Linked DNA regions of Daphnia pulex. The protein of the gene in region 2 interacts with the protein of the main gene of each other region in a biochemical or structural test. Links are inferred from orthologs where the notes say so. Each region holds a gene or a part of one and is shown on either strand. Other genes may lie near its edges. The genes, in order: putative peptidyl-prolyl cis-trans isomerase dodo and wee1-like protein kinase.

What was found.
Region 1: the proteins of wee1-like protein kinase (region 2) and putative peptidyl-prolyl cis-trans isomerase dodo form a complex in vitro, tested with the Homo sapiens proteins (2 studies listed by BioGRID, with this or other methods). The link is inferred for Daphnia pulex from reciprocal best matches to the Homo sapiens genes WEE1 and PIN1.

Annotation. Positions count from the first base shown.
Region 1 is NC_060017.1:4,463,129-4,466,123, forward strand, and holds putative peptidyl-prolyl cis-trans isomerase dodo, read right to left. Parts: upstream 1,464-2,995; 5' UTR 1,299-1,463; coding exon 1,247-1,298; intron 1,160-1,246; coding exon 1,065-1,159; intron 991-1,064; coding exon 661-990; 3' UTR 566-660; downstream 1-565. Other genes in the region: glutamine synthetase-like, read left to right, coding at 25-173; tudor domain-containing protein 7A-like, read right to left, coding at 1,844-1,873, 1,945-2,068, 2,132-2,312, 2,394-2,431, 2,501-2,995. UniProt on the Homo sapiens protein: Peptidyl-prolyl cis/trans isomerase (PPIase) that binds to and isomerizes specific phosphorylated Ser/Thr-Pro (pSer/Thr-Pro) motifs.
Region 2 is NC_060025.1:7,991,513-7,995,864, reverse strand, and holds the start of wee1-like protein kinase, read right to left. Parts: upstream 2,998-4,352; 5' UTR 2,408-2,997; exon of another isoform or gene 2,334-2,407; 5' UTR 2,314-2,333; coding exon 1,911-2,313; intron 1,822-1,910; coding exon 1,710-1,821; intron 1,003-1,709; coding exon 888-1,002; intron 782-887; coding exon 654-781; intron 588-653; coding exon 380-587; intron 313-379; coding exon 1-312. UniProt on the Homo sapiens protein: Acts as a negative regulator of entry into mitosis (G2 to M transition) by protecting the nucleus from cytoplasmically activated cyclin B1-complexed CDK1 before the onset of mitosis by mediating phosphorylation of CDK1 on 'Tyr-15'.

The DNA.
Region 1 (2,995 bases), on a different chromosome or scaffold from region 2:
TTTAAATTTTAAATTCTTTTTCAGGTGTGGCTAACCGCGGTTGCAGTATTCGCGTGCCTCGTGGAGTGGCTGAAGAACGCAAAGGTTACTTGGAAGATCGCCGTCCGGCTTCCAACTCTGATCCATATCAAGTGACCGAAGTGGTTGTCCGCACCACTTGTCTCGAACAATAGACTATCCTGATATTTTTTAGGTCCCATTTTTCACATAAAGAAGAGTAAACCATCCATTCCTTCTATGTCCCGAAGGCGCAAAAATAAAACAACAACAACAAAAAAAACTACCACGTTCTATCGATTATCGCCAAATTGTAATCTGACCCCTCTAATTTTAATATTCTCATTCTGTGGTCGTTCCCTTTTTAATCCTATGTGACGTTATCGATTTGTGTAAATAATCTGATCGATTGGCAATTTTGAAATTCATCAGTAAGCAAACATGAAATATGCAGTATGTGTTACCAAACTTAATGTCAGGTAAATACAAAAATTTTTAGATAATCTAAACTCTGAACCCTTGATGTGTTTTCTTAAATTAGTTGAAGAAATTGTAAAAAACAAATTTATACTTGCAATAATAATGTTGTATAAGGGTATGGTATGCAATAGACGAAAACATCCAAAATTTCTAGTAAAAAGAGAATTAAAAGAAAAATGTAATTCAAGCAGTGCGAAGAATAATATGAACTCCTGAATCAGTCCACACAGGTTCACTCATTCCACCAACTTTTAAGCTAAAAGCAGCATCTTCAAACGGTTTCTGCATTGCTCCTCTACCAAAACTACCAAGATCTCCACCTTTCTTGGCTGAACTGCAGTCTGAGTATTTTGAGGCCAATTCAGCAAACGAAGCTTCACCATTAACAATCTGCTCTTGATAAACAACTAGCAAATCCATAGCCTCTTCTTTAGATATGGTGATGTTGTCTTGCCGCCATGATGATGGTCTACGAGAATCCCTGTGTTTGACAAGAAGATGACTGCATTGAACCTGATTAAGAGATACACTTTTAGTTTACAATTTGGTTTGATGACAGTAATAGAGAATTATTTATAAAAACAAACCTTTTCTGGGCCGTTTGATGAAGCACGCTCTGCTGGTTTAGTTGGAGCATCCCATTGACTCTCTTTGGTGTAGATATTCAAGTAGTAACTTGTTCCTGCAATCAATACAAAGTGAATAAATAAAAGCGAAAATCACAATAGTTTCCAGCTACTAATTGCATTAAAGAAGATGACTATATTACCTGACGATCGGCTTACACGTTTCTCCCAACCAGGTGGCAATTCTTCAGACATTTTGATGGTGGTGTTGACTGAGTATAGAGACTTTGCGAAATGTGCACACGACGAATTATATTAAATATAAAATAGCGACAATAGTATGTATGGTTTTCAAACTACGACAAAGTTGTCGGCTTGATTTGACTTTGACAGCAAAGAACAGTCCAGAGAAGGAGATACTGTAGGTAACTAGGTAGCATATCTCTAGGTGGCAGCACTTGCACTTCTTCATTAACATAAATTTCAAATTTGAACTTGATTTTACAATACAATTTGAATTTACAAAAGACGTTTTAGTTTACAGAAAATTTTCATCTTTAATTCATAAATTTTTCATTTTTTACATTCTGTATTATTGTTGCACGGAAAGTAAACAATACAAGTAAATTACAAAATTAGGACAGTATGTTTTGTTCAATGACAGTTTTGATTCAATTTTATAAAAACTGATTTTTCCTGGTTTAAATACTTGTTTATCAGATAAAATAAAGAATTGGAAGGTAATTAATTGCTCAAACTTGAGCACTCAATGAAAATCATAAAAAGAAAAATGTGCTTATTTACTTATTGCTGAATTCTTTTCGCTTTGCCTACAAACATCAAAGAATGATGTTAATACATGCTTTATTAATTATTTGATAACTTAGATGCAATAAATTACCTCAATAGCTGAAGAGGCAACCTTATCTTTCACCGAACACAAGAAGAACAGTAGAGAAACATATTGCAGTGAATAAAGAGTGAGTTCAGATAAGGAATCATCTTTCATCCAAGGTGCCCCAGCCCTATAAGACGAAATCAGATGAATTTCTTTTAAATCATGTAAAATTATGGCTAAAGATATTTACTTCGCGCAATCGGCAAAGATATTTGGATGCGTTTCGGCAGTGACTACTTTGCAGTCGATCTTTGCTTTAAAGGCGGCAATTTGACTATCCAGACTCGGGATGAGCATTAAGATGTCCGGCTTAGGAAGATACAATTCACCACCATCTTCTACTGTATATAGCCTTCGTTCGTCTTTCAAAACTGATGACATTTAAATCCAATATAGAATTATGAAATTTCAAAAAAATACAAAAACAGCGAAATAGTTCAATGGGGATTTACCTATTACATCGACGCATTTTGACTCATTCGCCTCCAAACTGCAAACAATCGAAATAATGGAGTTTGAAATCAAGTTTAAGTATTTAAAAAAAAATAAGCTTCTTTACCTTCTTTCAGATGCTAAGACTGGAAGGGGTTCATTCACCGAGGCAATCACGTTTTCTTCAGGCTGGATATTCGAAGAAATTCTTTCATTGAATACCTCTTCGTCTATTGATGGATTCTCGAAATCAAGATGTTCGTTATTTGAAATCAGGGTCGGTGTCGTAATCGAAATGCTTGTTGTCTGCATCTGGCTTGTAACTGAATTTACTGCCGATGAGGGAAACGCGCAAGTTGGATTTGGTGAAGGCGCTCTACCGGTGTGTTCAGTTGGATTTGGTGAAGGCGCTCTACCGGTGTGTTCAGCTGGAGGCGACGGCGTGGAATATTCATAAACAGAATTTGCGGAGGCAACAGCAATTTGTTCCTCTTCGCAAGGCGAAACAAATCCACTTTCAATCAAATAATCACTGACGTGGATGTCTTTCTCCTTTGTTGTATCAACCAAAGTCAAAGAGTAGACTGTGTCGATTTCATACTCTGGTATCTCTAAGGTCTCT
Region 2 (4,352 bases):
GTAGATTGTAAGACCCAGGGAAAAGATATCAGCTTTGGCTAGATTGTCGTAATTTTCCTGTAGGATTTCGACGGGCAAGTAACGGCAATCGCCTTCTTCCACGATTGGCTGCACAACCGACGTCACGTGACCCAAATCTCCAATTTTATACGTCACGGATCCGTAATCGTCATCAAGTTCGTCAAATCCATCGTCACTGTCGTGGTGAACCGAGCAGTCGTCGATATTCTCACGGCAGATAAAAATGTTACCCGGCTTGATATCCATATGGGCCAACTGTTTGGAATGAATGTAATGTAATCCTTCTGCAATCTAAAAGAAAAATAACAAGACATAAATTAACTACTGCCAGAAATGGATAGAAAAGAATAAAACCAACCTGCAACAATGTCGATTTTAATTGCGGTTCATTGACTATGACATTGTTTTGCTGATTAGTGCGAATCAATTCTTCGAGGGTGCCAGAATTGCAGAATTCGTTCTGAATGATCATGTGACCATTTTCAGCCCAGGCCGAATAATAGCGAACAACATGAGGGTGCTGGCCAAGGACTGCGTGAGCCCATACTTCGTTAAGAGCAGATCGTCTAAAAAAAGAGAAGAAAACAAATGTTAATTATTGGCTTAAAGGTAGGACATTCCTTGATGCTTACTCATTCGGGGATCCAGCTACTGGCATCAAACTTTTCTTGACGGCATAGGTGCATCCATCGAGCCTGTTAAGGCATTTGTGCACTGAACCGAATTCTCCTTTTCCAATCAGGCAGATCTCATGGAATTCCTAATGTTTTTTAGGAATAAAAAAAAAGGGTTAGATCCATGTGGTTCGACGTGGCACACGGAAAAAGGGGTTGTGTACCCAAATCTCCTTGGGAATTTTACTGTACCTTGTGGTATCTGGGGACACTAGTTTGATGCAGAGCAATCCTTTTCGGGGGCAATTCTTCGTCTGATTCATCGGTTGCTTCATGGACCTCTTCGTCAAAGGAATTCACTAACGACCTGTCACAGCAAATAGATTAAATTAGATTTTATGGGGAAAAAAAACATGTTTTCATTTTTCGAAGTCTTGGAACCCGGTAGAACAAGATAATTGAAACGAAGGCTTACTCCACCCACCCCTGCCATTTCAACTCAAAAGGCTTGGGAGGAAAAAAACGAGGGACAAATCCCTCTATTGTTCCCAATAAACATATCACGTTGCACACAATTTAAGAGTCCCCCCCCCCCATCTTAACCTGGGCTGTCAAGTCAAAACTGCACTTTCTTTAGAGTCTACGGAAATTTCACCAAAAAATACGTTGTAACTGCATAACCAGAAAATCAACCTTGCGAAATGTTATGCGTCCTTGACAGATTGAGGGAAATGGGATGGTTTAGAAATGTTTCTCCGAATCTCAAGGAAAACCGGATTAATGTCTTACTTTCAAACTTTGCATGGTAGGAAAATTCAAACTAACGCTTCGGGTTATGCAACAACCACTGAATTACTGATAACCGGTTGGGATATATGAGTCACCCAACTGCGAACGCATCACCATATATCGCTAAGGCTAATAGATGCAAAATGTGTGTCTATAAAAGGACATCTTCCATCCGGCACGTATTTTCAGCGAAGCTTTCCGTTAAAGTTAGCCATTATATAAACAGAAGAAACCCAGAGTGAAAGAGAAATGAAGAAATAAGGGAAGTGCAGCAAAAGAACTTACCCATTGAGACTTCGTTTAGATCTGGTTCTCTTCTTGCTAGTCAACAGCATTCCAGTTGGTGTAAATGGGTTGACATTGGCAGCAGGTGGAGTGTCCAAGTTGTCTTTTTTATCTATAGAAGAAAACATTCAATAAAGTTATTTTTTGAAATCATAGAAAACGGGGAAAAGATAAACACAATGTTGGATGTATGGTTCTTACCAGTTGATTTTGCAGAACTCATGTTGAATAGGGTCCTCATCCTGTTCCTTGGTGCAGGCGTAGCTAGAACTGGAGTAATCATAGCTGAACTGTTTTCCAGGAGAGTTTTGGGAGTTGCCGGGGAATCAAACAACCTCAGAGCCCGGACTCCACTGTAAGGGGGAGACATGGATTCTCTGGCTCTGGTTCGAAGAAACCTTGGCTTTCTAGGACTGGTTATCCGAATGGTCATTCCAAGGCCTTCATCACTTCCAGATGAGTCCAGACGATCTGATGAAATGTTGCTAGAAGTCCGGTCGGTAGTCGAGGATGCCTCATGCAAATCTTCTTCGTCACTCAATGGGAATTCCAACCGCTGTGCTATGCGGCAATGGTTCTCTTCCATTTCAATATCGCGATCCATGATGACGCGTTGAACAGACTCTTGAAATTGAAACACACTAAAGTGAACTTTGTTTTCACCTCTTTGAGAAAAAAAATAAGTTAAAGTTTCTAACGCGTAAATGATGCGACGCGAGACTGTTCGACTTGATCTGAACACTGGTCACGACAGTTGTGTGGAGCTTTCAAAAATGACTGCCCGTTTCAGTGGCTTCCATTCTTTTTGTAATAGACGGATGCAGCGTTGCCAGACGCCAGCTCCCCTCCTTTTCACGTGTGTTTTGGTACAACTGTCATGGCGGCGCCCACAACGAGGGATGGGAAGCGCTTGCGGCAATGCGGTATAGAAAATTACCCGCCAAAACCCAATGCGTCACAACATGGCCGCCGGCCGCACAAAAATTCAAATTTCGTCACAACAAAACAGGAAACAGCTGCAATAACTTGGCTACTTTCACATTTGAAAAATAAATATTTCGATTTCTAATTTTATTTGTTTTTATTAACATAAAAATTTTTGAAATTAATATTCTTAATAATAATGTTTTTAAAAAACATTTATTTAATGATGTCTTATAAAATGTCGTTAAAATCAAAATTTTAAATAAAATTTTAAAATGTAATTTTAATTTTATTGATATGTGGTGCTGTTTTTTTTTATTAACTAAACTAATCCTGAGCTATAAACGTATTGACAAAATAAAAGTGTGTGAAGCATAAACTGACGGTTGAATAACTTTAAGCGTTTAAAGGGTGGCTCGCTCGCGCTCCATGTATCACAACAAGGATAAAGCACCTTGCTGTTCGCAAACTGCGATAGCGGGTCCACGGGTGACGGGAATTTTTACGATTTCTACCTGCAAAGGTGTACGAAAGAAGTAAACAAACTTGGCACACAACAGGAGGAGGAAAAAACGCGTGCTATAACAAAGAAGCAAGGGGTTATATCTTGAAGGAAAAGGGCATCATCGAGGAAACCGTTGACCTAGTTGAACAGCCTTGTTATGCTTGATGGATTAGTTAATCGGGTCTATTCAACTGGACCATCATTCACACACTCCAAGGGGCCTAATTGCGATAGGGGGGACGTGTGTGTGCCCAGTATTCATCGATATATTTTTTTCAAATGTCTCCCAATAATCCACTCTGATTTTGAGTCGCACTGAATATACAAATGGGCTAGTGAACTATGGTAACGTCCCTTCACACCGTGTAATCCATCTCCCAGGGAAATCCTAACTGTTTCGTATACCTGAGTGAGGTGAGTTCAGTTGGGGGTTTTGTGTGTGCTGCTGCCTGGCCAACTGGGCATTATGTACCGTGCTCCTTTCGCCAATAACCTTTAAAAATATGAATCCCAAAGGCCAGCAAAAGGGGTATAGGTGATTCACCCTTTCATATCTAGATTTCTTTTCTGTGTCGTGTTTTCAGCCAAAAACTCTTCGGGCCAACGGCTATTTCCATTTGATTTGACTTCACAACAATCTTTTTTCATGGCCAGCATCTTTTAGACGTTATGAAAATTCAATAATTTCTTATGTATTATTTTTCCCTTTAAATATCGATTATTATTCGCCATTGAAGACATGATGGCTGAAATCCTGTTGTCAATTCACCTTGTGGCCCTGCCCCCTTTATTACACCACTTGGGCACTTTGAATCGTAATGCACTTGTGTATTGGGGGTGCAACGTCCACGTCCCTGAGACATTGTTCACTTATTGTCAACGGACGAGAAAACTTTATCTCGCAATAACTTGATGATATAAAATCAACCTCGAGACTATATCAACCTTGACCAAAGCAGTAAATAGGGCGAATATTTAAATTTATTATTCCAAGTGTAACCGAAATTGAACATGTTTTATAATTGCAAGGGTCTTGCACAATTGCACTTTCACAAAAAAGACCAACGTCATCTGTTGATAGGGGCGTCCATTGACAAACAGCGTGATCCGTGCGTGACTGTTTCGTGATTAGTTCGCTAAATCTACAAGCAAATAAAAACAACAAAATGTCCTGGTGTTATAATTATCAGATCACATCATTTCCGTTTGTTCTT